4 linked regions of the Medicago truncatula genome follow. The protein of the gene in region 1 interacts with the protein of each later gene in a pairwise test. Links are inferred from orthologs where the notes say so. Each region holds a gene or a part of one and is shown on either strand. Other genes may lie near its edges.

What was found.
Region 2: the proteins of E3 ubiquitin-protein ligase COP1 (region 1) and constitutive photomorphogenesis protein 10 interact in binary tests that used the Arabidopsis thaliana proteins (3 or more experiments, as listed by UniProt). The link is inferred for Medicago truncatula from reciprocal best matches to the Arabidopsis thaliana genes COP1 and FUS9.
Region 3: the proteins of E3 ubiquitin-protein ligase COP1 (region 1) and transcription factor LAF1 interact in binary tests that used the Arabidopsis thaliana proteins (3 or more experiments, as listed by UniProt). The link is inferred for Medicago truncatula from reciprocal best matches to the Arabidopsis thaliana genes COP1 and LAF1.
Region 4: the proteins of E3 ubiquitin-protein ligase COP1 (region 1) and COP1-interactive protein 1 interact in binary tests that used the Arabidopsis thaliana proteins (3 or more experiments, as listed by UniProt). The link is inferred for Medicago truncatula from reciprocal best matches to the Arabidopsis thaliana genes COP1 and CIP1.

Annotation. Positions count from the first base shown.
Region 1 is NC_053046.1:37,990,070-37,997,724, forward strand, and holds the start of E3 ubiquitin-protein ligase COP1, read left to right. Parts: upstream 1-4,647; 5' UTR 4,648-4,771; coding exon 4,772-5,089; intron 5,090-5,978; coding exon 5,979-6,056; intron 6,057-7,655. UniProt on the Arabidopsis thaliana protein: E3 ubiquitin-protein ligase that acts as a repressor of photomorphogenesis and as an activator of etiolation in darkness.
Region 2 is NC_053049.1:39,599,821-39,606,771, reverse strand, and holds the start of constitutive photomorphogenesis protein 10, read left to right. Parts: upstream 1-3,937; 5' UTR 3,938-4,127; coding exon 4,128-4,314; intron 4,315-4,392; coding exon 4,393-4,466; intron 4,467-6,882; coding exon 6,883-6,951. Other genes in the region: uncharacterized protein, read left to right, coding at 1,280-1,558, 1,978-2,061. UniProt on the Arabidopsis thaliana protein: Component of light signal transduction machinery. Involved in repression of photomorphogenesis in darkness by participating in the CDD complex, a complex probably required to regulate the activity of ubiquitin conjugating enzymes (E2s).
Region 3 is NC_053047.1:21,466,526-21,473,984, reverse strand, and holds the start of transcription factor LAF1, read right to left. Parts: upstream 3,018-7,459; 5' UTR 2,812-3,017; coding exon 2,673-2,811; intron 2,223-2,672; exon of another isoform or gene 2,145-2,222; coding exon of another isoform or gene 2,093-2,144; intron 1,742-2,092; coding exon 1,612-1,741; intron 453-1,611; coding exon 1-452. UniProt on the Arabidopsis thaliana protein: Transcription factor that promotes photomorphogenesis in the light by participating in the transmission of phytochrome A (phyA) signals to downstream responses. Probably acts by activating expression of light-induced genes.
Region 4 is NC_053049.1:45,925,528-45,932,821, reverse strand, and holds the start of COP1-interactive protein 1, read right to left. Parts: upstream 3,018-7,294; 5' UTR 2,855-3,017; intron 2,766-2,854; 5' UTR 2,683-2,765; intron 1,726-2,682; 5' UTR 1,650-1,725; intron 1-1,649. UniProt on the Arabidopsis thaliana protein: Positive regulator of abscisic acid (ABA)-mediated signaling pathways involved in abiotic stress responses (e.g. osmotic stress) and leading to various plant adaptation (e.g. stomata closure).

The sequences.
Region 1 (7,655 bases):
TCCTTTTTTTTTTCTTTCTCAAATGCTTTTTATCTCTTATTACCGTCTTATCATAGAATCCCATAAAATTAAATTAAATAATACAAACATGTGATTAAAAAACACATTATCCCTCGGCTCTAACTTATCTGTTGCAGGTGTTTGGTGGTCTTGACGAAATGAGAATTCTTTTTGTTTCTCAAATGCTTTTATCTTTTATTACCGTCTTATCATGGAAGCTCGTAATATAACTCTTATCTTTATCTCTTGCATTTCTAGTTCTCTACGAGACAAGAACATAGACGGATCAAATGGAATTCCTTCAATTCCTCTTGCACCATTCTTAATGTTGATTGCATCATGTCTTGGCAACCGTGTCAAAGTTGGATTTTATGGTTTGCTTCATCATCCTTCCGTGATATGGATCTCTAGTTTCTCGGGATTTCTTTCAGAAATTTAATATTCTTCATGCTTAGCTCCATGCTATTCATCAAAGACTTTGTTGACTAAGCAATTGGATTACCATGACATTATTTGTTTCATTGATTCTCTTCATTCCATCGATATACTCCATGATCAAACGCCAAGGCTTCACAAGTATACTAAGATCTTCTTCACTAATATATATTGACATGTTTGCATCACTCATATTCTCTAAGAAAATAGTTGTGTAAACATCCTTAACTTGAAGCTTCTTCTAGCATTGATCTTATGGTCCATCTCTTCCATCCAACCGGCATCTCAGACCTCCTCTTTACAGACTCTATGGAAACTTAGTTATGTAGAGCTAAATTTCTCTCTTTTTTTTTTCTTTTTTTTCTTTTTCTTTCTACTTCTTTCTCTTTAGCTTTGTAACAAAAAAACATTAAATTAGAATTTTAAAAAAAGAACTAAAAAACCTAATCCAAGTACACCTAACGTAAGCATAAACATCAGACAAGAAATTGCCCATTATACACACATTTTTACGGAGTCATCTTAGAATTTTCACAAAGCTAACCACCTATTTCAGATCCATTGCATTTACTATTTTTTTAGGGACATCCATTGCATTTACTCGATTCTTTTGAAAACTTTTGAGTTTTCTCACCCTTTTCCCTTTTTCTATAGTACTAGGTAAATCTTATTTTGTCAACATCAAATGAAAAATATTTAAACATACACAAATGAAAAAATAATAATAAATAAATAATATGACTAATACTTTTATTATTTGTATGTGTGTTTAAATATCTTTTATTTATACTTGTTAAAAAAATATTTATACTTGTGATCAAATACTCCATCCGTTTTAAAATATAAGAAATTTTACATACATCGTTAATTGAATGAACTTAAAAAATAAAATTTATTTATATTTTACATCGTTAATTGAATGAATCTAAAAAGTAAAATTTACTTATATTTTAAAACGGAGGAAGTAAGATTTGCTCCAAGTAGAATACTCCCAAACTAAAAAGTTGACATTTAAGTGGAAAGCAGAATCAACAACTTGGTCAAAGTCAAAGCATTATTTAATTGATCCCAGTGAAAGGGAAATGCTACAGTTTCATGGAAAGTGGCTCCACTCATGTCTCAAAGACTCATATCAATGGAGTTATGACAAACCACAAAAATTGTTTGGAACAAATGCTATCAATGAGCAATGTGATAGTGGGTTTAAGAAATTAATCTTTAAGTTTTTTATGGTCCTGATTTTGTGTTCAAAGGCGGATTTGGGCATAGAAATTGTTTGCTTTTGCTGTGTGTGTTTATATATATATATATATATATATATATATATATATATATATATATATATATATATATATATATATATTATTTTATTAATTTTATTATTTACTTAACTTTTATTTAATTTTAATCTCTTGTTTAAAAAAAAAATAAAATTTTAATCTCTATTTTACAAATTTTGTATAAAAAAATTGTGTTTTTACCCCCTTTACCCAATAGGTAATAAACAATGTAGTCTCTATGAAAGCTACATGGAGACTAAAATTCATTTTAAACTTATATCATAACTAATTTGAGAAACTTGATTTCACTTCCTTTAAAAAAGAGAAACTTGATATCATTCGAATTTTTATTTATAAAATTCACTTTAATGATAAACATATATAGATATCAGTACAATAGTAATATAATATTAAGTGATGATTGTTTTCTTTCTTTATGAATGTGAAATTTTTATTTTATTTTTATAAAAACATTAGACATCAAAACTAAAATTTTATTTTAACAAAACTCAATATGAAGACCTGAAGCTGACTTTTCTTTTCCATTTTGTGTTGGAAATGATATTTAAAAACAGTGTAATATTTACTGTAATGTGAAAATCAAATTATATTGTGAAAATCTTTAAGCCATTTCATTTGAAATTTATATATTTTACATCACTTTTTTAGAGGACCCGCTCTTTTTTTAAAGGCACCATGTGAAAAATCATACTCCTGTCCACGCTATACAATTAAGTAAAAAACAAGTAAATTGAATATAATATTTTTTATGTATTTTTTTGTCAAAATATTTTTTTATCTATTAGAGAGGGTTTTTGTTTTAGTCATTTTTAAGTATAGTAAAGAATATAAATGAAGAGAGACATTTTTTAACACAAATAACTTACATTTATAAATGAAAAAAAAAATTATGGGCCCTCTTATCCACCGAAGTAAGAATATAAATGAAGAGAGACATTTTTTAACACAAATAACTTACATTTTATAAATGAAAAAACCATCTCCTGTCAAAAAAAAAATTATAAATGAAAAAAAAAAACATTTATGGGCCCTCTTATCCACCGAAGTGTTCCCTTAACAGCCCAGTTTCTGCATGTAGCCTTCGCTCGTATGAAAATTGCTTTTAAACACCTTGGATTACTCACAAACACCTAAAACTTTCAAAAATATCATCACTAGGAGTTACGAACCGTTCACCTGTGAACGGTAGCCAGGGATTGTTCGAGATTTTGTCAATGGTAGTTAGGAACCGTTTTCAATATACCTTTGCAGGTAAATTATGTTATGCCTGGATGAAGTTATTGATATGCTTAAAATAGCTCATGAAATATGCTTTTTAAGCATTCCCATCAACACAATCGTCAATCACCATCACTTTTAAAAACATAACCGATCTTCTGATTATAATCACCGTACAAATTCGATATCATAAGATTAAAATTGAAATTCAATGTTATGATTTACAATTGCTATGTTCTAATCGTAATTTTCAATAGAAGTATTTTCGAAAGTTTAAAGTCATTACAAACAATCTAAGGTGCGTATTTTTCCCTCGAATAGAATGAGAGAAAAACCAAACAAGCTATCAACCTTAGGAAAAACCCAATCACATTGTCGAAGAGATACTCCTCTTATCTTAGATAACATCATCTTTGGGGACATATTAAATTGGTACGGTCGGAGTGAGGTAAACAACTAGCATCACTTATGTATGTGGTCACAAGTGTTTTTTTATGTTAAAAAAAAAGTGTTCTTATGTTGTAAATTTTTAGTAGTTACACCTTTTATTTTGTAATTTATTTTAAAGTTGTAATTATTTTATATTATTGTTTTTACTAAAATTTTTTAGACACGTTTCTTTTGTTCGGATTATTTTATGGTTTGCAACAGTTGAAGCAGCAAGTCTACATTGTAGGTATGGAGGTTAGAAAGACACAATCACTATTTTCCTTATACTCTATTTTGTTTTATTGAGAGTCAATTTACTTGTGCTAATATTTCTCTTTGATTTACTACTTAATGATAATTATATTTCATTTTTTCAACATGTGGTACTCCATATGGTACGAAATCTGTATATGAGACATGTATCAATATATTCATCAATTTGTTATGCATGAGAAAACACATGGTTGAATTTAAAAAATGGATATCAACATGGAAGCCGTTAAGTGCAATGACATAAGCTAAGGTAATTTGGTGGGGAAATTCTTAAGAGTTAAGAACGTGTTTGTTTAAATGAAAGCATGAGAGATTCCAATGGTGGATGGGATAAGAGGTAGAAGAACCATACTTCTCATTCATCGCTTCCCATATTTATTCCTATCTAATCAAACAACCCATTCTGGTTTCAAATTTCCTTCTATGAACACATGATTACCTTAAGTAGAAACTCAATAATTTTAGATTAGTAAGAATGCAATGTAAGTAGATATGTATTATAGGAGACGATCTCATTTTAGATTACCTTAAGGAGAGGATCTTGACCTGTATTCTAGAGAGTATTGCACTTCGCATCTTGATGATGTAAAATCTTCTCATTGACCAAATTTCTTTGTTAGATTCATACCACAGTCCACACATACATATCTAAAAGTGCTTGCTCAACATTCTATTGTCATGCATTATACCATGTGAAGTTATGTATGTTCATCTACTCCTATACAATAATGACAACCAGATGTCATTCCAAAACATGAATTAAATCACGTCATCACGTAAACTTAGCTCAGTTGATAAAGACAATATATACTATATATAATGTAAGAGGTTTTAACCCCGACCACCACAAAATACACTAACTTCTATTGATTAATTTTTACTTACATTTTAGGACGGAGAGAAGACATATTTTCTCCATCATTAATTAACAATAATTCATAAGAGGCCAGCATTTTGTGATGTAGCTTATAGCATCAAATCAATCACGTGGAAATATCTCACCCTCACAAACATCACATTCCTGGACCCACTTTCTTCCACTCTAAACCCGCTTCTCTTCAAATCACCACCACACGCATCAAAACCATTTCATCTCAAAAACCTCACATCACACCATGGAAGAACACTCCGTCGGACCACTCGTTCCCGCCGTCGTCAAACCCGAACCATCCAAAAACCTCTCCACCACCGTAACCGTCACCGGCGACATCGCCGGTGGAGACAATTTCCCGATCGCAACTATGACGGAATTAGATAAAGACTTTCTATGTCCGATTTGTATGCAGATTATCAAAGACGCGTTTCTTACATCTTGTGGTCATAGCTTTTGTTACATGTGCATTATTACTCATCTTCGGAATAAAAGTGATTGTCCTTGCTGTGGTCATTACCTTACCAATAGTAATTTGTTTCCCAATTTCTTACTCGATAAGGTTCGCAATCGTAATCACAATCGCAATTCGTGTTCATGTGTTCTTCGCTATGAATTTAGTAACTGCTAGTGTTTAATTGATAATTTGCGTTTTGAATTGTGATGTTTCGGTTTTGGAATTGCGTTTAGATTAAGATTTAGAAACTACTTGAGGCTTGTTTGGATTGACTTATTTGAGCTTATCTAATGACATAAACACTTGTGAGACTGCTTGGAAAAACTTTTGAAACAGTTTACTACACGTTCATAAGCTGTTTTCAGTTTATTTTTGTAAGTTTTCCAATATAGCAAATGAAAACAGCTTATAGCTTATGTGAAAATAATTTAACCTTATTTTATTTTTTGTTGCAGAAATAACTTATACATATGCACTTATTATGATAATCACTTATACTATAAGCTACAAGTTAAGTTGTTTTCCAAACATATGAATGAATTCGGTTTCACAATGCTTGTTGTTTAATTGCTAGAGATTAATTGATATTTTGCATTTTGAATTGTGATATTTCGGTTTTGGAATTGTGTTTGAGATTAGATTTATGCCTGTTTGGATTGACTTATCTGAGCTTCTCTACTGGTATTAGTTTTATGAGAATGTTTTGGAGAACTTATAAAAACAACTTTCTGACAATTTTCATAAGCTTTTTTCGGCTTATTTTAGTAAGTTCTCCATATAGCTTATGGAAATAGCATATAGAAAAACAATTTAACTTTATTTTATCTTTTGCTAATGTAAGCTTATACATAAGCAGTTATAATGATAAGTGCTTGTGCTATAAGTTGCAAATAAACTGTTTACCCAAATAGAGCCTAACACCCAGGAAATTGCTTGTTTTATGAATGAATTCGGTTTCTAGCTCATTGTTAACGGTTTCTGTACCAATTTGTAGCTACTAAAAAAGACGTCGGATCGTCAAATATCGAAGACTGCTTCCCCCGTGGAGCATTTCCGGCAGGCGATACAAAAGGTTGGTTGTACTCTTGCTACCTGTATTGGTTTGCAGTTTGTTTTGTGGTGACTTATACCTTTGTTGTTGTTGATCTTGTTTTACTTAATAATTCATTTTTGCTTCTAGTTTTATTTCAAACAATGAATATTTCGTTTTGAGTACAATGTGGAATACATGACCTATGTAACATCTGCATTTCGGAGTCCAGTGTATGACACATGTCTGTATCCAACACTGATACAACATGTATGTGGTTACACTGTATCAATTCCATTTTTCAAATTATTACCGGCGTCTATGTGTCGGTATCATTGTCGTATCCGGTATCCGTGTTAGTGCTTCACTGTACTTGACATGATATGTATGGGTTTAACAGGGGTGGTTAAACAAAACTGGATTAACTTTTAACTGTCGTAATTCCTTTGTTTACCATACTAATTGTACAACAGTGAGAGGTTTTTGTTGCAATAGTAGGCTGTTTTTCTTCTTCTGTTTTTTGATAAAGCAATAGCAGGCCGTTGATCGCGCAGTTCACGTTCCACTAAATTATGAATATAATTCTACAAGAAGTTTTGATGTTCCAGAAAAGATAACGAAAGAGAATGATACTAATAGTTCCCCTGTTCTCGGCCTCTAATCTAAAGTTTAAGGGAGGAATGCTGTATTGCCTGCAGTGCCAGTTTCTTGTAAGAGGAAATATAATCTGATTCATTAATTTACGTCATTCATTTGTTGAGATGATTAAATAAAGGCTTAATAGCAGTTTTAGACCCTTAACTTTTCCAAAGTTGCAATTTTGGCCCCCTAAGAAAAAAAAACTACAAAACCACCCCCTAAGTTTTGCATCTGTGGCAGTTTTGGCCCCCAAGACCAATTTGACTCGGTCTACACTGACGTGGCACTCTAAGTGAGGTGCCACATGTTATTTTTATTTTTATTACAAAAAATTGGCTTTGGGGGGCCAAAACTGCTACAGTTGCAAAACTTAGGGGGCGGTTTTGCAGTTTTTTTTCTTAGGGGACCAAAATCGCAACTTTGAGAAAGTTAGGGGGCTAAAACTGCTATTAAGCCTTAATTAAAACAGTAGGCGTTAGATCAAAGTAGATGGTTAAGAATAATACTATTTTAAATTGCAAGTCACTGTTTCCCATGCTACTTTTTTCTCCTCCTCTCCTGCCTTTTCTATCAACCGACCGTCCGTGCCAATAAATAGGAAAACAATTTATTTTGAAGCCTAATGTGAGAGGAGAACAAGGGCCATCATTCTCTGTTCTAATGGAAAAGTGCACCTCATAAACAATAATACCACAATTTGCATCATTTTTCCTTTACCCTCTTTCATGTTTGACAGAGACAGTACAGAACCAAACCTAAAGGAAAAAAATTAAAAACAAAAAAACAAAAAAAAACAATGTATAGTGGATTTTGTTATGGGGCGAGTGGTGAGTTCTTGGTGGCTGTGCTCGTGATTGTGAATCTGGTTGGGTTATTGGAGCAGAGTCGTGGGTCTACTATAGTCTATAGCCTTGATTTGTGAATGTAACCAGACCCACCTTCACCCAACCACAATAAGTAGAACACCAGTGCAAGACCCACCATTTTGACAACTCCGTGTAG
Region 2 (6,951 bases), on another chromosome or scaffold:
GAAACAATTTTTAACTTTTTAAGAAATGAAATGTACAATTTTCAATATAAAGTTAAAGTTTCTAGTTTCTACCTTTATTGTGCCTTAGAGGTGTTTGCGAGTGTTGAGTTTTATAAAAAAAGGGTAAGATTAAGTCTATACTTTGATATTTTAAAAAAATTAAAAGAACTACATAAATATGTATTTTTTGGTTAAAAGAACTACATAAATATATAATATCACCTTGTTTTGGTTGGATAGGTGGATGAGTGATGTCCCACTTTGTGAGACATTTCATAGCTTATACGATTTATCTGAAAATAAATTATCTACTGTGGCATAAATGTTTCATTGGGGGTGGGATGTGGGTGGGGGAAGCTTGGAAGTGGCGGAGGAAGTTTTGGGTGTAGGAGGAGGAGCTGTTAGAAGAGTGTAGACTTTTATTGTTAACAGCTATGCTGCAGGTTGATTCTGCTGATGCTTGGAGGTGGACCCCTGACATAGCCAATGGTTACACGGCTAGTGGTGCTTACCGCTTGCTCACAGATACGACGCATATCAATTACCAGATACTGCTGAGGCTTTTATGGAGGAAGGATGTGCCTTTGAAGGTTTCAGTGTTCACTTGGCGTTTGTTTCGCAATCGATTGCCTTCAAAATCGAATCTATTCCGTAGAGGCTCGATATTGTGTTAGTGGTTGCGGTCTTCATGAATTCGAATGCCATTTAATCGCATCTTGTGCTTTTTTCGGATATCTTTGGCAGCTTGTTAGGAACTGCTTTGTGTTCACTCAGCGGATCCATCCCATATTTTGGATCACTTCATTCTTCGACTTCTCTACAGGGTACGGTAAATCTAGACGCTCTTTCATGCATTTGATTTGGTTTGCTACAACTTGGGTAATTTGGAAGGAATGCTAGAATTTTCCGAGGCACTCAGGGTTCTCATATGCAACTTGTGGAGAGTGTCAAACAACTTTCCTTTATTTCATTGTTGTTGAAAGTTGGTTTGTATCTTGTGAGTGTCTTTTGTGATACACCTTGTGCTTGTACCTGAAAGATGACTCTCTGTTCAATATATCATTTTGATTTCTTTTGTTCATTTAATTTCTTTTTAAAATAATTTTAGATTGATATACAAGTTAATTATTTTATTACAAACCAAAAAAAAGTTAATTATTTTATTTAAAATAAAATTAAAGTAATCTTTGTACCAAAAAAAAACAATCTTGAAAGTTTTATAGTTGTTGACAACAGCTAAATAGGAAGGGTGAAATAGTTAGCGATTGTGATCAGGAAGATGGAGGGAGGAGGATCGTCAAATGGAAGGAAAGGGTATGCGTGGGCAGTATCTGCTGGATTGAACGCCGCTCTTGCAGCCATCTTCGCTAAGTTCACCTTTCACATCTTGATTAAGTACGGGTTCGTGGTATTCTTCAATGTAACCATGTGGTGTTGTTATGTCAACAGTCTCAAAGCTCTCTCTTCTCTTCAAGCTACTGTCACCAATTTCGCTACCAATTTTATCTCTTCTGGTTTAGCCGGTTTCTTCTTCTTTCATGAACATCTCTCTTTCCAGGTAGTTACTATTTTTTTTATTTTTTTTTTCCTTTCAATTTCAATCTTTACATATTAATTACCCTATTTGTAACTAAAAATTGAAATGGTACCAATTTCATGATTATGACCCTTAATTCTGTTTTTATATCACACTCAGTTTATTTATCCATTACGTTACATGTAACGTGTGTTCCAACTGCTTAATGTGGGATCGAGATAAACCAAGTATCATGATTTGCTATTACGGGTACATATGAGAGAGAGGATCCAATTTATAGTTTTGCTGTACTAAAAATCAGAAAAACTATTGGTTGGTTCTAAGGGAAAAATAAAATTAGGGCTCAAACAAAGTCTAAAGAATCTGTGGTTGGTTATTTGCCTTTTATGTTTTCAGTTTATTCATTCACACATTTTTTGATGCAAAAAAATGTTTCACAGTGGTTTGCAGGTGCCTCACTCATAATAGTTGGTGTAATAATACTTAGCAACTCAAGTATTGAGAAGAAGGTTAGCGCTGATTAGAAGTTGCACTTGAGTATGTTACCTTTCATGCTTGCTTGTTACCGGCCAAAGCTAGCATCCGCAACTGCGTGAACATGAACTTGTAACATCAGGAATGATATAGTTTGATCTTCTGCTGAGCAGTTCACCACTTCACCTCACATGAAACCTGCTGAACTAGTCGCTTCTTGCCTTTTGCCAAATTAACAACTCTCTTATTGTTTTATCCATTCATTTATGTGGTTCTGTGGTTTAATGTAGTTGGTTTGAGATGAATGCCAATATTTATTTACGTGGTTCTCTTATTTATTGTCTCTTTACTGTTATGATTTTATGACATTGGTCTGTTCATGTGTTCTCTTTGGTTATTTTCTCTGATTTGAATTGGACAGCTTTGGCGCATTTTTTTAGTACAACTACAAACAGCTTTGGTACATTTAGAGTAGCTTTGTTATGGGAAATTTTTCATCAAAAGTGTTTCTATTTGGCTGGAATTTGACTTATGGATTTGGAATGTAAAATACCAAGAATCAAAATGGATGCAGTAGATGTTAATCTGGTGGTTAAATCCGTTGTATTGCGGAGACTGCGTATGCCGGAGGAATTGGAGGATCCTGAAGGGGTTCTTCCCCTTGATCCTTTGTTATGGCAACAAGTTCCTTCAATCTTTGGCACTTAGTGCTGCGGAATTGGTTGTGACATAAAGGTGACGAGGTCATGGGATTTCCTTATTTCTTCTTCATTGTGGGAGCAAAGTACAAGAATGCAGAAGTAGTGGTGAGGGAACTGGGGAGGCCCATGTGGAGAGTTGAGTCTTGGTACTTATGGTTGCAACCCTGATGATCTAGGGAGGCAGAAGCGGAAAGACTTGAGTTTTATCAAAGGGTTTGTAAGATTTATTAGATAACCTTAGTTCCAAACTGTTTGATATGTAAGGAGGAAATTTCTATTGCAAAAATCTGAGATTATAAGTTGTCAAATCTGTTGGTTATATAAAATTTGGGGAGGTAAAGCCATCACAATGGAAACGCCAATATTCAAGGTCTTTTAACGAAAAAGTTCATGGGATTAATAATTTACACTGCTAGTGCATAAGTATGTGAGATTAATTTTTATGTACTAAAAGTGTGCTCCCTCCGTCCCAAATTATAAGAAAAAAAATCACAAAAAACTAAAACATAAGAATTTAGAGTATAGTTTTGTGTTTTCTTTGAAAAAAGTTTTACAGGAAGATGTAAAAACAATTTTCATTGACTATTGGTTATGGAAAAAATAAAAGAGAGAGAAAATTTAATGTAATTTTATGAGAATAAACAAAAGTTTTTCTTGGAAAAGAGATTTTTTAGAAAAACAAGATTAAATAGGATAAAAGTTTGTCTTTTTTACTTATATTTTGGGACAAAGAAAATGAGTTTTTTTTCCTTATATTTATAAATTAGTTTTTAAAGTATTCTAGAATAAAAACTACGAATTATAGCTTCAAGTACAATCAATTCTGGTGGTAGAATCAATTCTACTCGACAACAATCAAACATGTCAGAATTAAATCTACACATTCAGAATCAATTTTAATCCCTATGGAAGTAGAACAAAACATATTATTTTGAAATGTATTATTAACCTTATATCCTTCACCCTAAAACAATAAAAAAATTACGAGTCATTTAATAAAAAAACATGCCTCAAACTATAAGTTATTTTATAATATCAATAAAACATTAATGATTTTTTTTCTCTCTCTATAATACTTACTATTTACTATTGAAGACTCTGTCTTCTTTCAATTTTTAAATTTCTCTTTTAAATACTATTAATAAATAATAATTTTGTAATATTACTCGTAATTTCTCTTTCTTAAAAAAAATTAAATACATTTAAAATTGTCAAAACCGTTATGAATTTATCCCAAATATTACTACTTCCGGTGTATTCTTGTTGAAAGTGTTGATGGTGAAAAATGTCTTAGTAACAACAACTTGAATGAGTTTGATATTGATTCTTAATGAGAGAAAAACATTGATTACTGAAGAAGAATAGATGAGCTAAACGAAAATTGAATTGGGAAATAGGGTTTAGGAGGTGAAGTGATGATACCAGGTGGAGGAGGAAGAAGTTCAACATCATCATGGGCACCGACAACCTCAGTGTCTGCTTCTGGAAAGAGAATTCAAAGAGAAATGGTTGAACTCAACAACGACCCTCCTCCTCATTGTTCTGCTGGTCCCAAGGGTGATAATCTCTATCACTGGATCGCCACCATTATTGGCACCCCAGGTTCACCATCTTCACCATTCAGCTTAGGTTGTTTGGGTTCAGATTGAATTTATCATCAATTTGATTTTTTGTTTGTAGGAACACCTTACCAAGGTGGCATATTCTTCCTTGACATAATATTTCCTACTGACTATCCCTTCAAGCCTCCCCAGGTACTAATTGGTTCTTTTTCTAGAATTGCTGTTTGCTTTGGCATGTGGTGGAAGAATGTTAGCATGAAATGAAACTTTATTTTTATATAGATTTAATCTTTATACGTTGTCGGTATAAAATTATTTTACTTGTGCATCTAATAATGTGATTGAAAATATGAGTTGTCGTATTCATTAATTAACGCAACAACACATTATTGGATGCATGTGTAAAGTAACTTTACACTGTCAGTGTATAAAAATTAAAATCTTTTTATATAATGAATGCGTTAAGTTCCTTGAAGTTAATGCTTGTTACTGATTGACATAAAAGTTGTAATTCTATATACATTTAGTTTGGTAAGGCGATGGGCTTGTCTTAGGCTTATATTGTGCACCACATTGAGTAAAGCTAGAGAATGAATTGATACTTAAGCCATAGGATTCTCCCACCCAATAGGCTTGTCCTTTGGGATGGACTCTTCTCTAGAGCTCAAGTCATACAAACACTTGATAGTTTTATTGAGAGCTTGCCGTGTAGGATAGGTAAGCAAAATAGGAACTAACAGGAAAATGGCTACCTATACCAAAAGAGTCAAGAATGAATGTAATCATGGGTGGTTAGCCAGAATGCTCTCTCAACTCATGGTTAGTCTTTTGGGATGGTTTTACTCGTGGGCTCAAGTCATAATTCTTAAAGGCAAGACCAGAGTAACATCCTTCTCGGGGAAGCCAGATTAATGAAGTGAACTATTCTACAGGTATGTATCACCCCTTCTATGGATGGGGATACCAAGCATAATTCTTGGAAAATGCATAAAATTGTTTTTGTAATCCTTCTCTTTTTCATAAAGGGATCCGTGTTGTTAATCCTAGTGGTGGGGAGCAGTCGACCCCTAAACCGCTAAAGTGGGATAGTAGATAGAGGGAAAGCCTCTATTGTGAAGACTAGAAAGTAGTTTAGGAAGGCTTCACTTTGGGAAGTTTATGGTTGACATGATACCAGGGTTGAGTAGAAACACAGTAGAATTAAATGAGGAGCAGAGAACAGAGGAGAACACGGTAGTCGTCACCACTACCATAAAACCTAGTAGCCATTTCTGGAAGAAAACAAAGAAGGTAAGGGAGCAAGTGTGTCTTCGGATCTTCACAAAACGGAGGTAGGAGAAAGTGAGTTTCACTTTCGCATGGTGCAGAACGGCCGAAGCTGCTGACCAAGAATACTCAGGGAAAATGACCAAAAAGCCGAATAAATCTAGTGATCAGGGGGTGAAAGGGGCATTTAGCATCAAAGGTGGCTGTTGTGGCAGTCAAACACAATTTTCAGTCGAAATAGCTACCCTTGTATAATGCCAATGTGACATACCAGCTGTAAGTGTCGCAGCTGCGCTGCTACAATTCCATTATCACGTGTGATCACCTGCTATTGACAACATAGATAGGGATAGTGTCGTAGCTGATATTACAAGATATTTAGTCACTGGGTGGTCTGTTATTGTGTTTAACAAGTTTGAACTATTGAATCTTACATCCTCTTATTTGAGTCCATTCTCCCACTTTCGAAGCAATAAACAATATATCATTTTGTATGCATTTAACTAATATTGAGTGAAAAAAAAGGTTATTCACTGGCTTGAATGCACATATTTTTTTGCTTCTGATTTGATATAGGGAAAGTTCACTGGCTAACTGTTTTGTTCAAGTTCATGTCATTTGAAGGAGCTAACTGGGTCATTGGGAACTTTAAGTTGTATTTCAAGTAGAATTTAATAAATTGGTTACTTGTATTTGATAGAGCTGGAAATGAGAGTTTAGGTGTTGATGACGTGTCTAGTCATCCACACCGTGTACCCAAAATATGGAGAGTGTATGTTAGGAAAAATAGAAAGAAAGAAGAGAATGATGAGCTGGCAGAAAAGGGGTGTGATGCGTGACTCACTTCTGTTGTATTGGGATTGGGGTAGTGGAGGAAGGGGTCAGAAAAAGAATTCTGTTAGGAGCAGAGATTTGTGATATTCTCTGAGTCGGTGAGCATAGCTCTCAGTTGTATCAGGAAGTTTGCTTCCTTTGCTATTTTTCCTTTCTATGATTAATGAAACCCTCTCCATTTTATCTTTTCAATACTATTTGATGCTGTTACTGTGATTGATAGTGTTAGTACCTATCAGTATTTGTATAAAATGCTTGTTTTTTTTTTCCTTCTGAGAAAATTGCTGTTACCTTCCCATTATGTAAATGTTCAAGTACAGTCCCTTTATTTTCAAAGCCTATAAACTTCCTGTAACATGTCTTCTCTCAACTTTTCATAAACTTCTCTGTTCGAAGAGTTTGGTATAGGTTTAAAAAATAAAAAGGCAATATGCAGACAACAAATAATTTATGTGGAGGTAAAAGTAATTTAATTGTTGTGTATTGCCTTGTTAAATTGAACTAGCAGGTAGTCTTCAGAACTCGCATTTACCACTGCAATGTAGAACCTGATGGCCGTGTTAGTATGGGAATATTG
Region 3 (7,459 bases), on another chromosome or scaffold:
CAAACTGCCCTTCTGGCATTTGAATAACATTTTCTTGAAAAATTAAATTTTGATCATAGCCATTTTTCAAGACCAAAGAATCATCTGAATTTAGAGAGTTGCAACCATTTACTTGATCTAGTGAAAGCCACTCAGAAAATAAAAGTTTTGGTAATGAACTGTGACAAACTTCATTGGCAGTGTTATAATTCTTTGAAATAGATTGATCAGAGTGTGTTGTAGCTGTTGATTTGTTAATGTTTTCTGGTAACACATATTTTGGATCTTGAATTGCATATTTTTGAGTTGAGAGTAAGGAGTTCATTGTATCTGAGCTTGAACTAGCATATTGAATTTGAGTATGAGATTCAATATCCTTACTTTTGACTTCTTTCTTTTTCAGATATGAATGCCAATAATTTTTAATCTCGTTGTCGGTCCTTCCCGGCAATTGTTGTGCAATCTGAGACCACCTGACCAATACAAGTTAAGTTGTTTTGATAAGTCTAAAATTACGTTCTAATTTAATTATGCGTATTATTCACATAATATACATTGACCAGATTTTTCTACAATTATATAAAGATAGTTGGTATTTCTTCATTTACTTTTATACAAATTATCCACGTTTATATTAAAACAAACTAGTTGTTATTTTATTTTATTTTATTTTATTTTTTGGTAATATAATACTAGTCGTTATTCTTTTTTTTCTTTGTTTTTGAAGAGTTGAAAGAAATTAAATAAAGATGTCAAACATGTAGCATGTTAAAAGTGTCACCCAAAAATAGCACATTTTCAACTCTCAACAAATTGATTGTAAAAGTAGTGTTGACTTTCTATTCCAAATTTGGGAACTGACCTGTGATTTTATGTTATCAAGTTTACACACAAATAAAAAAAATAAAAGAGCAATTTTACCATCAAATTTTGTGTACTTCCATTTAAAACAAAGATGAAATCATATTACATCATATAAACTTTAGGGTGTAAGCTCACCTTTGACGAGTCTTAAAAAATTCATTTCGTAACAAAATTATGATTATGAAGAAAGAATAGGGAAGTATATATTTTTTTGTTTTGACAAAAAAGAATTGGGAAGTATATTGAAATGTATAATATTTAATTGACTGTAAATTAATCATTGTATGTGATGGAAAAGTTTAAAAAAAATATATTGAGCTGTACTTGATTTGATTTAAGAAATTAAGGAATATTAGACCATATGTCTTTTCTTTGTATATTATGTTAAAAAAATGGGAATGCTAAGTCATGGTTTGACTCCTATCAATTTTTTCCATTTATTAATTTATGGTAGGAATTAGCTGGCATACATCCAATTACATTATTTAATGTAAAACCATCAAAACAATTAAACGAGACAAAAGTATTTTCTTTAACTTGCATCATTTGCACTACTTACACTAACAACCCCTTGGCTTAAATATTAAATTGTAGTCACAATTATAATTATTATAATCATTAATAATAATAACAATAACAAGGGACAATGCATAATAACTATTTCATAAATAAAATTATAAAATTAATACTTTTACTTCAAATAACTTCTAGAATAATTTTATAGCATTAAAATTTTATAAAAGTAAAAGTGAGGTTGTTCATCCTTACTTGTTGCCTAACATTTGGTGAAGGGTCATGATTTTATCTTCCTCATGTTTGCTGAGCATACCTCTCTTTAATCCAGGCCTCAGGTAGTTAATCCACCTTAGTCTGCAACTCTTTCCATTCCTTTGCAAGCCTGGATTTTCAATGTACTATGTCAGCACCTCAACATCGGTTAAGAGTCTTAATATTGGACTAAAATAGTCTGAAAATGTGTTTATAAATAGGAGCTCTTCTCATACACTCTCAGAAGATGTATTGGTTATAACTTAACTATCTATATAATCATATTTTTAGATCTTATCTTATCTTATCAAATGTAGAACTATTAGTAGCATCAATTAAAATAAATACAAACACACCAAATTCTATCACATTTGTAATAAATGATGGTAGGTTAATCACAATCAATTTTTTGTAGCATGTTTGTAATTGGCATAAAAATTGATAACCTACATTACCTCTCGATGAATTGGTGATATTTTACCTTTAATGATAAGTAAGATTTTATTCTGAACTGAAGAAGATAAAGATGACATGTTGAATGAAAGAGATGAGGAAGTTTGATGTTCTCTACATGAAAATGGTACTGATTGTAAGAAAAAGCACTATGGATGAGGCTTACATTTTCCTTTGATGAATTGAAGGTAATTTACCCTTAAAGACAAGTAGGATTCGATTATGGAACGAATGAGGGGAAGATCACATGTTGAAGGAAGATGAAGAAGAAGTATAATGTTATTGAGATGAAAATGATAACTGATTCTAAGAATAAAAATGAAGAAAATGTTATTTTTTTTTTCATAGACGTAAATTACCCCGATTCATCAAAATATATATTTTTTTAATTATTCAATGTACCAACTTAAGTGAAGCATACCTTATGTTTGATGACTTATTAATTTGAGGTCAAATAAATTCTAGGAACATTTTATCAAGTAAAATGAAGAGAAACTTCACTTGAAGAAAACAAATGAAGTTATGAATTCATTGAAGATATGAGGAACATGCTACAAATATAATTGATAAGGAGTTATAAATTTAAGAAAAAATAAAAAGAAACGCACCTGCTTTAATGGGGACAGAGCTCCAGCAGCTATGACCATGCTTCATTATATAATTACTAAGCTTGTTATCTTCTTCAGGTGACCATAATCCCTTTCTGTATTTTGATTTTTGTACTTTTTCTGCTAGCTGGAATCCCATTTTGGTTTTTTTTCTTCTTCTCTTTTCTGAAGAAATTTCAGTTTAAATAGGTTTAATTGAAAGCTTAAGTTCCCAAAAAACGGGTAAGAACTATAGAGAGATCAAATATAGGTAGAGAAAGGAGATAGGATATTTGGGTTATAAACAGTGCACAAGCATATTGGTATATATAATGGAATAAATACTTATGATTGTGCAATATATTTGCATAACTTATTCCAGAAATGAGTTGAAACAAAAATAAATATATTATTTTAAATAAAAAACTGAGAATGAAAAAGTTATTATTATTAATTGAAAGGACAATAAATAAAAATAATCATTTATTTTAAAGAATAAAAATAATCATTTTTCAAGCATAGAGTTTGAACAATATTTATTATTGTTACAAACCCAAGCTCTTATTAGTTATTATACTAAGCTGACATCTCATGCACAAATAAATGTATACTCCCTTTGTCTTATATACTGTGTGAACCACTCTTTTGGTTTTGAACGCAATATTAATTAATTATTTTAAATGTAATATCTAATTAATACTATTTGTATCATTTTAAAAATAGTATGTATTTTACTTTTATTTTTAAGGTAATGATAAATGCGACTATATTTTTCTATAGCAAAAATACGAGTATAGTTCTTTAATAGTAAAAAAGGAGAATTAAATTAAAAAAGAAAGAGATATGGAGACGGGAGGGACATTAGACCTAACTTAGGTACAATCTAAACGGGGATACAAAAATATAAATTAGACATAGTGATCAACCATAACCTATCCTAACAAAAATTTACTAACCACAAGAGCAACTCAACAAACCCGCGTACAAGAGAAACTCAGCAAACCCGCACAAGCGCAAAATCAGGTTACAAATAATATGAAAATTGAATATTTGCAAAGTACATTTAAGGTTTAAGTTCGGCGAATGGATGGACCACCAACTCCATATCAAAATTCAAGCACCAACAAGACGACTTTAAACCTGCAGATATCAACAGATCTAGAAATATCAGAGAGTGTCAATGAAGTCCAGCCACCAAACACTGCCGGTTTCAGATAGACGCATAAGAACTCGGATCGAGAGATGTGTACGATACGTTAGTAACCAGACTCTTACAGGTTTGACAGAACCAGACCCTTTCGGTTTTTTGAAACCAAATCACATAAAAAAAATAGGCCACAAGTCTATAACATCCGGTCTCTGATCAAGAACGAAAGCAACAACACATACCAAACGTTCTTATACCCACGAAAACCACACAAATGTCAACAACCACAAAACAACACCAGCGGTCCAACCAAACGAAATAAAAAAAGCAACATACGAACCAACGTTAATTAACGTTGACAGAAGCGCGCTCCTACACCACTGGTGCGGGTTGAAAAAGTTTGAAAAAATGAGAGAATCTGATTGCAATGACCAAATCTGCCTCAAATCAAAGAGAACCACAAACCACCCTGCCAAACGAATTTGAGACAGAGAAAACCTCCACGTCCCTGTAAATGACGACGGGCCAAAAGGAAAGGCGACGAAAGAGGGTTAAACCTCCGGATTTACTGCCACCAAAGGAAAGAGAGCAACCTCATGTCGGAAAGGAGTGGTGGTGCTGAGGAAAGAGACCCTCGTCACACCACCCGTGATTTAAGCTACACGATGGCGGCAAATTTGGTTTTAGATAAGAGTAATTTAGTAAAAGTATATCTCTTAAACTTGTAAATTTTTGTGTGTGAAATGGTCAATTAGATTATTCATTATTCGATAAACTAAATATAAATCAAGCATATGATTTACCTTGTTTGAAGTGACAATTTAAAAAAACAATAAAACAAAAACAAAAAAACGTTCATGTCCTATTGGTTGAAATCGTGTTCTACCTTGCTGGATGGCTACCAACTTCGAAATTGTTGGACTTATTTGTACCAAAGGTTTATGATCACTGTTTGTCTTTCTTTTTGTTTCAGCACAAATAATTCACAAAAATAACTATTATCAAAGTTTTGAAAACCCCAAAAGCAGCATTGTTTATTATAGGTATTTTTGTTGTTACATAAACTGGCCCATTTTAATAATTTTTTAAAAAAGACTTGTGAGTCGTGGCAGTTTAATAAAGGCCACACTAAACTATTTTAAGTGATAATAAGATAACTATATTATATACCTTCACCTTGTAGTTTAATATCCAGGTTTTCTTCTTACCTAATAAAAATCTTATCTTATGCTATAAGCATTTGTTAAACATATATGAGAAGAATCTTCAAACTCACCTGCAACTTAATTAAATTCATCTGTGTCTACTTTAATGAATTTTTTTTATTTTATATAAAAAATAAAACTTAAATAAACTCATCTAAATGGTGCCAATTTTTGTACCCTCTAAGCCATGGAGTAGACATTTTGCCTGCACATTACTCAAAGTCAACATTTGCCGACACATTCTCTAGCTCCAATAGCAATTAATAAAAGTACATCCTCTACATTATAAATTTTATCATCTCATATTTATTTTATGTCAAACTTTTTTTCTTTTATAAAAAACTATGTATCCTATGAATATTACCATACACAAACATACCGACAGTTGTCTAAAAATGTTTATTTTAATGCAATTCACGCTCAAAATAAAATATTCATATTTTATATGTTGTAATGCATCTGTAAAAAAAATCCTCGAAATGCACGATTCAAAAATCATATTATTAAAAAAAAAAATCACTACTTGTCCATTAGAAGAATTGGATTGGATAAGATCTAAAACAGTTAGAATCAGCTTTGGCAAGACATTACAAACGAAAAAAAAAAAAAAGAACAAATTAGGTTGATACATTGAATTGAATATGATTAGCAGAATAACTATGAACAACTAGCTATAGGAAATGAAACAAAAGAAAGAGACAAAAGTATGGGTATAAAGATGTCATCATATTCCTCTATTCTTTTGTAAGACACCAAAGTTATATTACGAGGTTAATAAAGTTAAGAAAACCATGTTTCATCTCTAGTCATTGGATGATGTATGCAAATGATGTAAATGCCAGCTCCAATAACCACCTAATATCCAATAATTGGATAGGAATTCCTGTAATGCTAAAATTGATATAGAAGTAACCTTCTTAAATGTTGGGACATGAAGTGAGTCTGAAAGATCATCCACCATTAGATTAAGAGGAAACATACAAGTGAGTTAGATAATATATCTTAATTTAAAATCTTAAGGTATTTGGATTTATTGATCATCTCACTTATATATTATTTAACCCTCACTTTTCCCCTCAGGTGTGAGCCATTGCATTCATTATGCTCTCCCTTAAGCAACAACTTTTTTCATCCAACAAAGAGTCGGTGAAACCCTTCATCGAACAAGACTCTTATACCACTATTGGGATATGGGGAAATGACAAAGTAGTAAACCTGGTAATTTCTCCAACACAGTGGTAAGTAAGTATCTCGGGTTTATGAAACAAATAAAATATGGATCCACACAAACCGTTCTTAGTTAATTTAAGTTTGTATTGACATATTTTTTAATCATGTTGTTTATAAAAGTATTGAAGTGGTTTGATTTAAAGTAAAACGAATCAATATAGATAAAGTTGTGCTGGCATTGAATTTCAATAATAATTCCTCATGTTCCCCCATAATCGATTGAATATTTTTTATACTCCAGATATAACTCCACCCTTTCCCCAGCGTACGTCTCCACCCTTTCTCCACCCTTTTGAGATTGATCTAACTCGGTTTAATAGAAATACACCTTTTTTATAGAGACCGGATTATACATTCCAGTTATCCGGTTTAATCCGGTAGTCATACGGTTCAACCAATGATCTAGTAGTTGAACCAACAATCGAGTGGTCTAGTGACTTTATCGAGTCGACGACCGGTCTCGTTTTGAAAATTGTGTCTGAAGGTATTCTTAAGAACCATATTAAGTAAAACTGAAACATTCATTAAAAAAAAGTACACCGATGAAGGTGATAAAAACACAAGAAGGGGGGGGGGGGGGGGGGGGGGGGTTTGAATTGTGTTTTCTTTTTCTCTCTTAAAAAATACTTCTTCTGATAAAACTTCAGAAGCAGTTTGTGAATGCTTCTGATGAAATGATCAGAATCAGATATGCAGCGGAAAAGATCAAAGCAGAGAAAAGAAAAGCAAGACACAAGCAGTTATCCTGGTTCCTTCCACAAATCGGAAGTAGTCCAGTCCCCCTTGCACTTCCAAGGAGATTTCACTATAATCACAAAGATTACAAATGCTCAATACTCTCTAAGTATGAGACTTCTCAAAAATGCTCAAGCACACACGCAAGAGTCTTCCAATGCTCAAGTACTAAGCAAGAGTCTTCTAATGCTCAAGCACGCAGGCAAGAGGCTTCTAATCAAACAAAAATACTATGAAATAAGTTTGACTTGAACACTTGATATACAATCAGTGGTGTTCACAATACAATACGTTAAAGACTCTAGACTTTTGAATTTCTAAGATGTATCAAATCAGTGCAGAAATTCAGTGTGCTTTGTAGAATCAAATTGATAGAGTTTTGGCGCTTTTTAACTTGTATATCTCTATCTACAATCTTCAAGTCTTCACTCCTTTATATAGAGGTGTGAAAGAGACATTGAGATGATTTGCACGTCTAAAGAGTCGTTTGG
Region 4 (7,294 bases), on another chromosome or scaffold:
AATAATTGGGAAGGTTGTGTCAAGGTGTTGTTTGCAGCTATATGGATAGAAGTGAGGGATCAACTACTTGATTGCCATATTTCGTTAGTAGATATATTTTGGAAATTAAGAACCTGAGAGAGTTATGGTTGTTTGATTTATTTTGGTTCTGATTATTTGGATAGTTAGTCTGAAATAATGTTCAGTCTAAATTGGAGTTTTCACTATGCAGGTTGGTTTGGGAGATTGCAGTAGAGGAGTAATTCTTGTGTGGAGAAAACATGTACCATGGGAAATAATAATTTAATGAAGATATGGAGGGATGGTTGTTTGGGCTCCTGTTTGGTTTCTTAGGGATCAACTACTTGATTGCCATATTTCGTTAGTAGATATATTTTGGAAATTAAGAACCTGAGAGAGTTATGGTTGTTTGATTTATTTTGGTTCTGATTATTTGGATAGTTAGTCTGAAATAATGTTCAGTCTAAATTGGAGTTTTCACTATGCAGGTTGGTTTGGGAGATTGTAGTAGAGGAGTAATTCTTGTGTGGAGAAAACATGTACCATGGGAAATAATAATTTAATGAAGATATGGAGGGATGGTTGTTTGGGCTCCTGTTTGGTTTCTTAAAGTGAAGTACACTGGTTGTGAGAGGTTGATTGCCTCTATTGGCTGGTTGCAGTATAGGTGTTATACTTGGCTTGCAAAATGGTTTAGATGTGAATAGCAACGGATAGAAGGCTGTGAGGCTTGGGATTTTGCAAGATTGCAGAATTTTATCCTTGATACTTAATGTATTCCATAGTTATCAATTATATAGGCTTCGAAGGGGATAGTTCTTCTTTTGCTACTTATTTGTGCCAATTCCTGCACAGTTTGGCAGTGTGGCTTTTAGGTTGTGTTCATGATTGTTTGGTTTGATTGGTGTGTATTTGCACGTATCCTTTTTGTATTGTTTGCTATCTTCCACTTGTGCATGCTGAGTTTTTTTAAAAAATTTAATAAAATACTTAACGCAAACACATGTTGCAGGGAAAACAAAAACGTTGAAATATAGGAAAGATTGTATCATTATTTGGGGTTCATTCGAACAAGGCACTACTAATGTTTCATATGATGGAAATTGGGTTTAGTTACGGATTATATGTGATTAACTGGGGCCATAAACTACAAAAATAAAGGACAAAAAGAAAGGTGAATGGTGTCAAAAAGATACTAAATGCGGTTGCCATAATTACTGTTACTAAACCAAAATGTGGTCCCAAACTCTAAATTAACGCACCACTGGTCCAAATTTTAAGCTATTACGGATTTAACAAGATTCTATTACTGAGAACGGAATTATCAAAATGCAATTTTTTTTTAAGGAAAATAATCAAAATGCAATTAGATTATCAATTTAAAACCAAAAATAAAAGAAAGAAACAGAGCCACTAAGTTCCAAGACTACAACTCAGCTACAGTCTACCGCCACGACTACAACTTCCAAGAATTAAGTTTTTTATTATTTAATTTTAAAAATTAAAAAACAAATTTGTAATATACTACTACCCAAGAAAGAAAAAAAAATGGAAAAAACATGCTTGCAATCTTACATACATGATCCCTAATATATATGCTCAATGTTCTTATAACAATTATCAATATTTTGGTAAATTGGAATAAGTACCTTAAATATTGCTTCAAGTTTTCCTTATATCCTCTTTTCTGAATCTGTTAAGCTCTAACAACAATATTGCAGCAACCTACAAAGAAAAGGAAAAAAAATTATAAAAGACACAGCAAATTCAATGCAACAAACAGAATTGAGCTTCAAACCTATGTTATTGATGATGATAAAAATACCAAAGGTAAATAGAAATACTAAAATATACTCATACTGAATAGGATGTATGGTTTTCTTACCAATTGACTAAGCTAATCTAACGCCTGTTTAGCAAGCACAATAAGCTAGTTTATAGTTGATATTCTTATAATTTTTAAGTTCATATGACTGATAAAAACTCTTTGATAACCTCTTTTTCACCAAATTATAAGTTATTTTTAATAGATTTTTTATAAGCTAATTCAAGTAAATTAAAGCTTATAGCATATCTTTACTTGAATTAGCTTCTAGCATATCGTCCCCGTGAGCATAGCTCAATTGGCAGGACATGCATTGTTATATGCAGGAGCCGGGGTTCGAACCCCATACATCTCATCCAATTATTCATCTTGAAAAAGGTTAATTCTAGGCACCTGACCAAAAAAAAAAAACTTATAGCTTATCTTTTTTTTTTTATCTTGATTGAAAAAATTAAAAATTAGTTGAAAAATATTTTTTTTATAAGTTCATTCAAATTTCAAACACTGATTTTATCAAACAAAACAAATTCAACCAGGTAGTGCTATCACTTATCCGTTAAAAGCTCATCTGGTAACATATCACCATTCCAATATCATTATTACTTTAGCGAAAAAAAAGGCTTATTAGATTTTTATTTCTTAGATTCCAAAGTAACGTAAAGAGCATAATCATCAAAGATCAGCATCTTTTACAAGATTAATTAATAGCACAATAAATAATTCAGATTAAGGATCAAGATACAGGATTAACTAAGTTCAAATCAAAACAATATCCAATTTCTGCGGAGTATACAAAGAAACATTAATAATTAATTAATAAACAAAGTAGAAACTTAGAGAATTGAATAAAAGCTTACGTGAGTGATTTGAATTTCAAGTAGATTAAGTTGATCTGATCGAATCCAAAAGCTGAAACCAAAGAGCTTCTTCAAGTCTTCAACTATAAGAGAATCAATAATTGAATTGAATTTGAAGTGAAAACGCAAGAAGAAGGAAATGAAAAATTTGAAAAACGGAATTCACTGTTACCTCTGTGAGAGTTGAAAAAGAAGATGATGAAGAAAAGAAACTTGGAGAAAGAGAGTTAGGAAGAGGTGTTGAGTTAATGCAAGAGAGACAGATACAGAGACTATAGTTTAAGTTTACAAAATATTAATAATTTGTTTTTGTAAAATAATAATAATGGAATTGAAAAGTGGCTTTGTTTTGTTTGGATTAGAGCGCTCTAAAGAGACGCCAGCACTTTTCATCTTCAAATTTCATGAATGGAATCTTTGGATTGTTTATTCCGATGTTTGCCCCCTCTCTTCTCTATTTATTACCCATAATGCCATTCATTTTACTTGGGCGGGGACATGCCGACGTGTCATCATCCTTATTATTTTGAAATTTCTAGCCACTCCAGATCAATGTAATTTGCATCACATAAAAAAGTCTAACAAATTCTAATTCAACTTATAAATATCAAAATTGCAAAGCCGGACGTCGTAATTTAAGTTTAAACCTAGAACCTCATAGTTGTATATAAGTTTAATTTCAGTCAAACACCTATTATAGTCATAATCATACAACTTTAAAGATAAAGTTACTCTTTTTATTTCATAAACAATACTCCCTCCGTCCTAAATTATAAGCAAAAAAAAACTTATTTTCTTTGTCCTAAATTATAAGCAAAACAAACAACTTTTATCATATTTAATTATCTTTTTTCAAAAAATCATCTTTTCCAAAAGAAAATTAAATGTAAAATGCATTCAATTTGCTCTCTTTTTTATTTTCTCTATAATCAACTACCAATGAAAATTATAATAGTTTAGATTTAGATCCTAGACGTTTATGTACTGAGTTAATTTTTCAACTAGAGTTTCTCTCCTATTCTCCCTAGTCTTTAGACTACAAATTCACCTTTACAAGTTACTCGCCTATATACTACCCCTAGTCCTTTACAAGTTTAGGTATTTAAGTTTTTGAACCAAAAGGAGAATTAATTTCCCTATAATCTGATTTGGTTCTGAAGATAAGTGGGTCGATCGCTTTTGATTCGAGATCGAGAGTCACTTCTTTGGTTCAAGTTTAGTTTTGGACTTTTTTGGTGTTATTTCGATGGACTAGAGGTTGCGCGGTGGTGGAAGCGGATTGATATTTGGAAAAGGAGTTCTTCAGATGTGACTCACTTTTGGTGATGAGGACTGGTTCCTCTTTTACAAGGGTGTTCTTTTGAGGTGAGTAGTGGTGATGAGGGTTATGAATGTCGTTTTTTCAGTGGTCAGTAAGTATATGAGTCAGTTTTAGGGGGTGATGTTTATTTTGGTGGGGGTTGTCCTTATGAGTGTCTTTATTGGGTTTTATTTTTGGGTGTTCCGCCTATATACGACATCTTTAGTTTGTACCTTCTCTTAGAAATCGTGGTTCGCCCTAACACACCCCCCACAAATTCGGCTTGTGAGGTGAGGGTTGCCCCCACTTATCCCCACATTGGGACTCTTAACACACCCCCTCACGACCAGCACTCTTGGGCTTGGTTCATGGACATAAATGGTGGGTGGCTCGATAGCGGAAACCTGATAGCAGGTGGCCCAATGGATCTTGAAGAGGCTCTGATACCATCTTAGAAATCGTGGTTGGGCCTAACACAACCCACAAAACCGGCTTATGAGGTGAGGATTGTCCCCACTTATAAACACATTGTCAGGTCATCACCTATTCGATGTGGAACTTTTAACACCTTCTGTAACATCGGTCTATGTTCGTCTTGTGCAAAAACCTGATTTTTAATAAAAAAAAATTGCTGATTCAAAAAAAAAAATTCCCTAAATATAATATTGTATGTAAAGCTAGTTTCCCTAAAATATCAAACATAATACTAACATTGATATTTTTTCTAGTGAATAATATCATTAATCTATTAGTCTCTCAATAATCTTTTGTACCATATATTATATAGAAATGGAATATGTGGTCTTAAACAAACTTGTCTATTAAAATATTATATTGTTGGTGTTATTAAAAATGATAAGAATTTATATCATATTTGATATTCCCTCTCTTTCAAAATGAGTGTCACTTTAGCAAAAAACATTGTTCAAAATGAATGTCACTTTACATTTCTAATACAACTTTAATTTTTTTTCTTTCAACTTTTCTCTCACACAATTTTCAATCCAACTTTAAATTTGTCTTTTTCTTATAAAGCAAAGACAATTTAATAAAAGTATTATGTCTAATGATTATTTCATTTTATTCATTAATTTTTTATGCAATTGGCTAAAACGACATTTATTTTGAAACGGATGGAGTATATTGTCGGTATCATGAAAAAGATAAGTATATATTATTACTATCATTCAAAAATATAAACACGATTTGTTACAATTCAAAAGTCATAACTCACAAATACCTAACCTTATATCTAAAGCAAATAAATAATTCAAATTAACATATAAGTAATTCAAATACAATCCAAAACTCTATAATTCAAGTACAATTAAACCCAATAGAATCACGGTTCGGAAGTAACAATGTCAATAATAGAATCAAAACAGCAAAATTATTACTTAGGAACAAACAAAAATTGCCAGAAAGGTGCAGAATACGATGCCGCGAAGATCCCCTTTACCATGTTGTGTTTGATCTGTCTCCAGCTACTCCACGTAATCACTAACTGGACCTTTTTCATGCTCATGCTCTCATTGTTCTGTAACGAGGCAGTTTCCTCGTGCCGGCAATTACAAATCACGTGACCAATTATTGTCACCTTTTACAGCTTCATAATGTTTTTGTTTTTGTTTTCGTTAATGTCTTTTCTTTTTGGTCCTTGACATAGTAAGTTTAACTATTGTCAGCGAACACCAACATATGCTCCCTCCTTTCTCAAATGTAACTAATTTTTTACTTTTATTTTCTTAGGTTCATTCAATAAATGATGTACATAATCTATAATATAGACCACATATATTGTTTATTGAATGAACTTAAAAAGTAAAAAGTTGCTTACATTTGAGACCGGAAGAAGCAGATTCAAGCATGTGAATAGAATCCAAGCATGGGAATAAAATTAGTAAATAAATATTAAGGTTGTATTTGGTAACACAAATAAGTTAGCTTATAACTTGTTGGACAAACTTATAACCTTATTTTAATAGCATTCGATGTGTTTGGTAAAAAACTTTTTTTATTAGCTTAATTATAACGTTTTTAAGAAGCTAATGTAAGTAGTTTTTGAGTTTTTAATTTTTAACTTTTTACATTTTCTTTCATTTTTAACCTTTAACATTATTTTATTATTTTTTATAAACAAAAAAAAATTGGCCACGTTAAAAACAAGCTACCCACGTTATTATTCTTGAGACAGTAACCGCTGCACTACCTCAATGCTTTTTTTTTTTTTTTTTTTTAACTTAATTGCACTTTTGGACCCCCCTATCTTTTCAAAAGTTGCGGTTATGGATCCCTAATTAATTTAAATACAAAACAGCCCTCTATGTTTTAATTCTTTGACAGTTTTGGACCCCAAGGCAAAAAAAAAAAAATTGACACGTGGCACCTCACTTAGGGTGCCACGTCAGCGTTGACCGAGTCAACAATGGACTGGGGGTCCAAAATTGCCAAAGAATCAAAACATAGGGGGTTGTTTTGTATTTAAATTAGTTAGGGGTCCATAACTGCAACTTTTAAAAAGATAGGAGTTCAAAAGTGCAATTAAGTCTTTTTTTTTAATTGATTTTATGTTTGAAACGGTTTCTGTTAAATTCCTATTACTTATATAGCATCTTTTTCTTTTTCTTTTCGTATATTTACCATATTAAATAAAACATACAAATATTTTTATTTATTTTTTTCAAAAGTAAAAAATAAAACATACAATTTTACAAAAAAAAATTGAAAGATATAATTATGAAGTTGAGCAAATTTAGTTAAAAAAATATCTCAATGAAGTTTATATTTCATATTTATAATTTTCTAGAGGAAAAATATTTATAATTTAGTTAAAAATGTTTATATATTTTTTTAGGTGAAAAAATGTTTATACATATAACTTATATAAATTAAACATACATGTACTTTTATGTCATTTCATATTTATTAATTACTTAAAAAGCTAGTTTTACAAAACATTTTAATTTTAATAGGTTCTGATACTATTTTAGAAATTATAATTGATCTTAACATAATCCCACAAAACTAGATTGTGAAACGAGGATTGTCATCACTTATGAACACATGTTCAAACCCAATTTTGTCCGAAATGAGACTCTTTTAAGAAGATGATTTTCTGAAACATTAATGTGGGAGGTAATCTAACCTCGAGCTTAAAAAATTGGATGTCTCTCCTGGATTATATTTCCCCACACTGTAATTTTAGCATATATATTTTGATATATTTTAGGAAGGAAAATGCAACACTAGTAACCCTAAAAAAACCAAATATAATAAAAAAAAAAATTAAAACTTGTGTAATTAAATACTTAA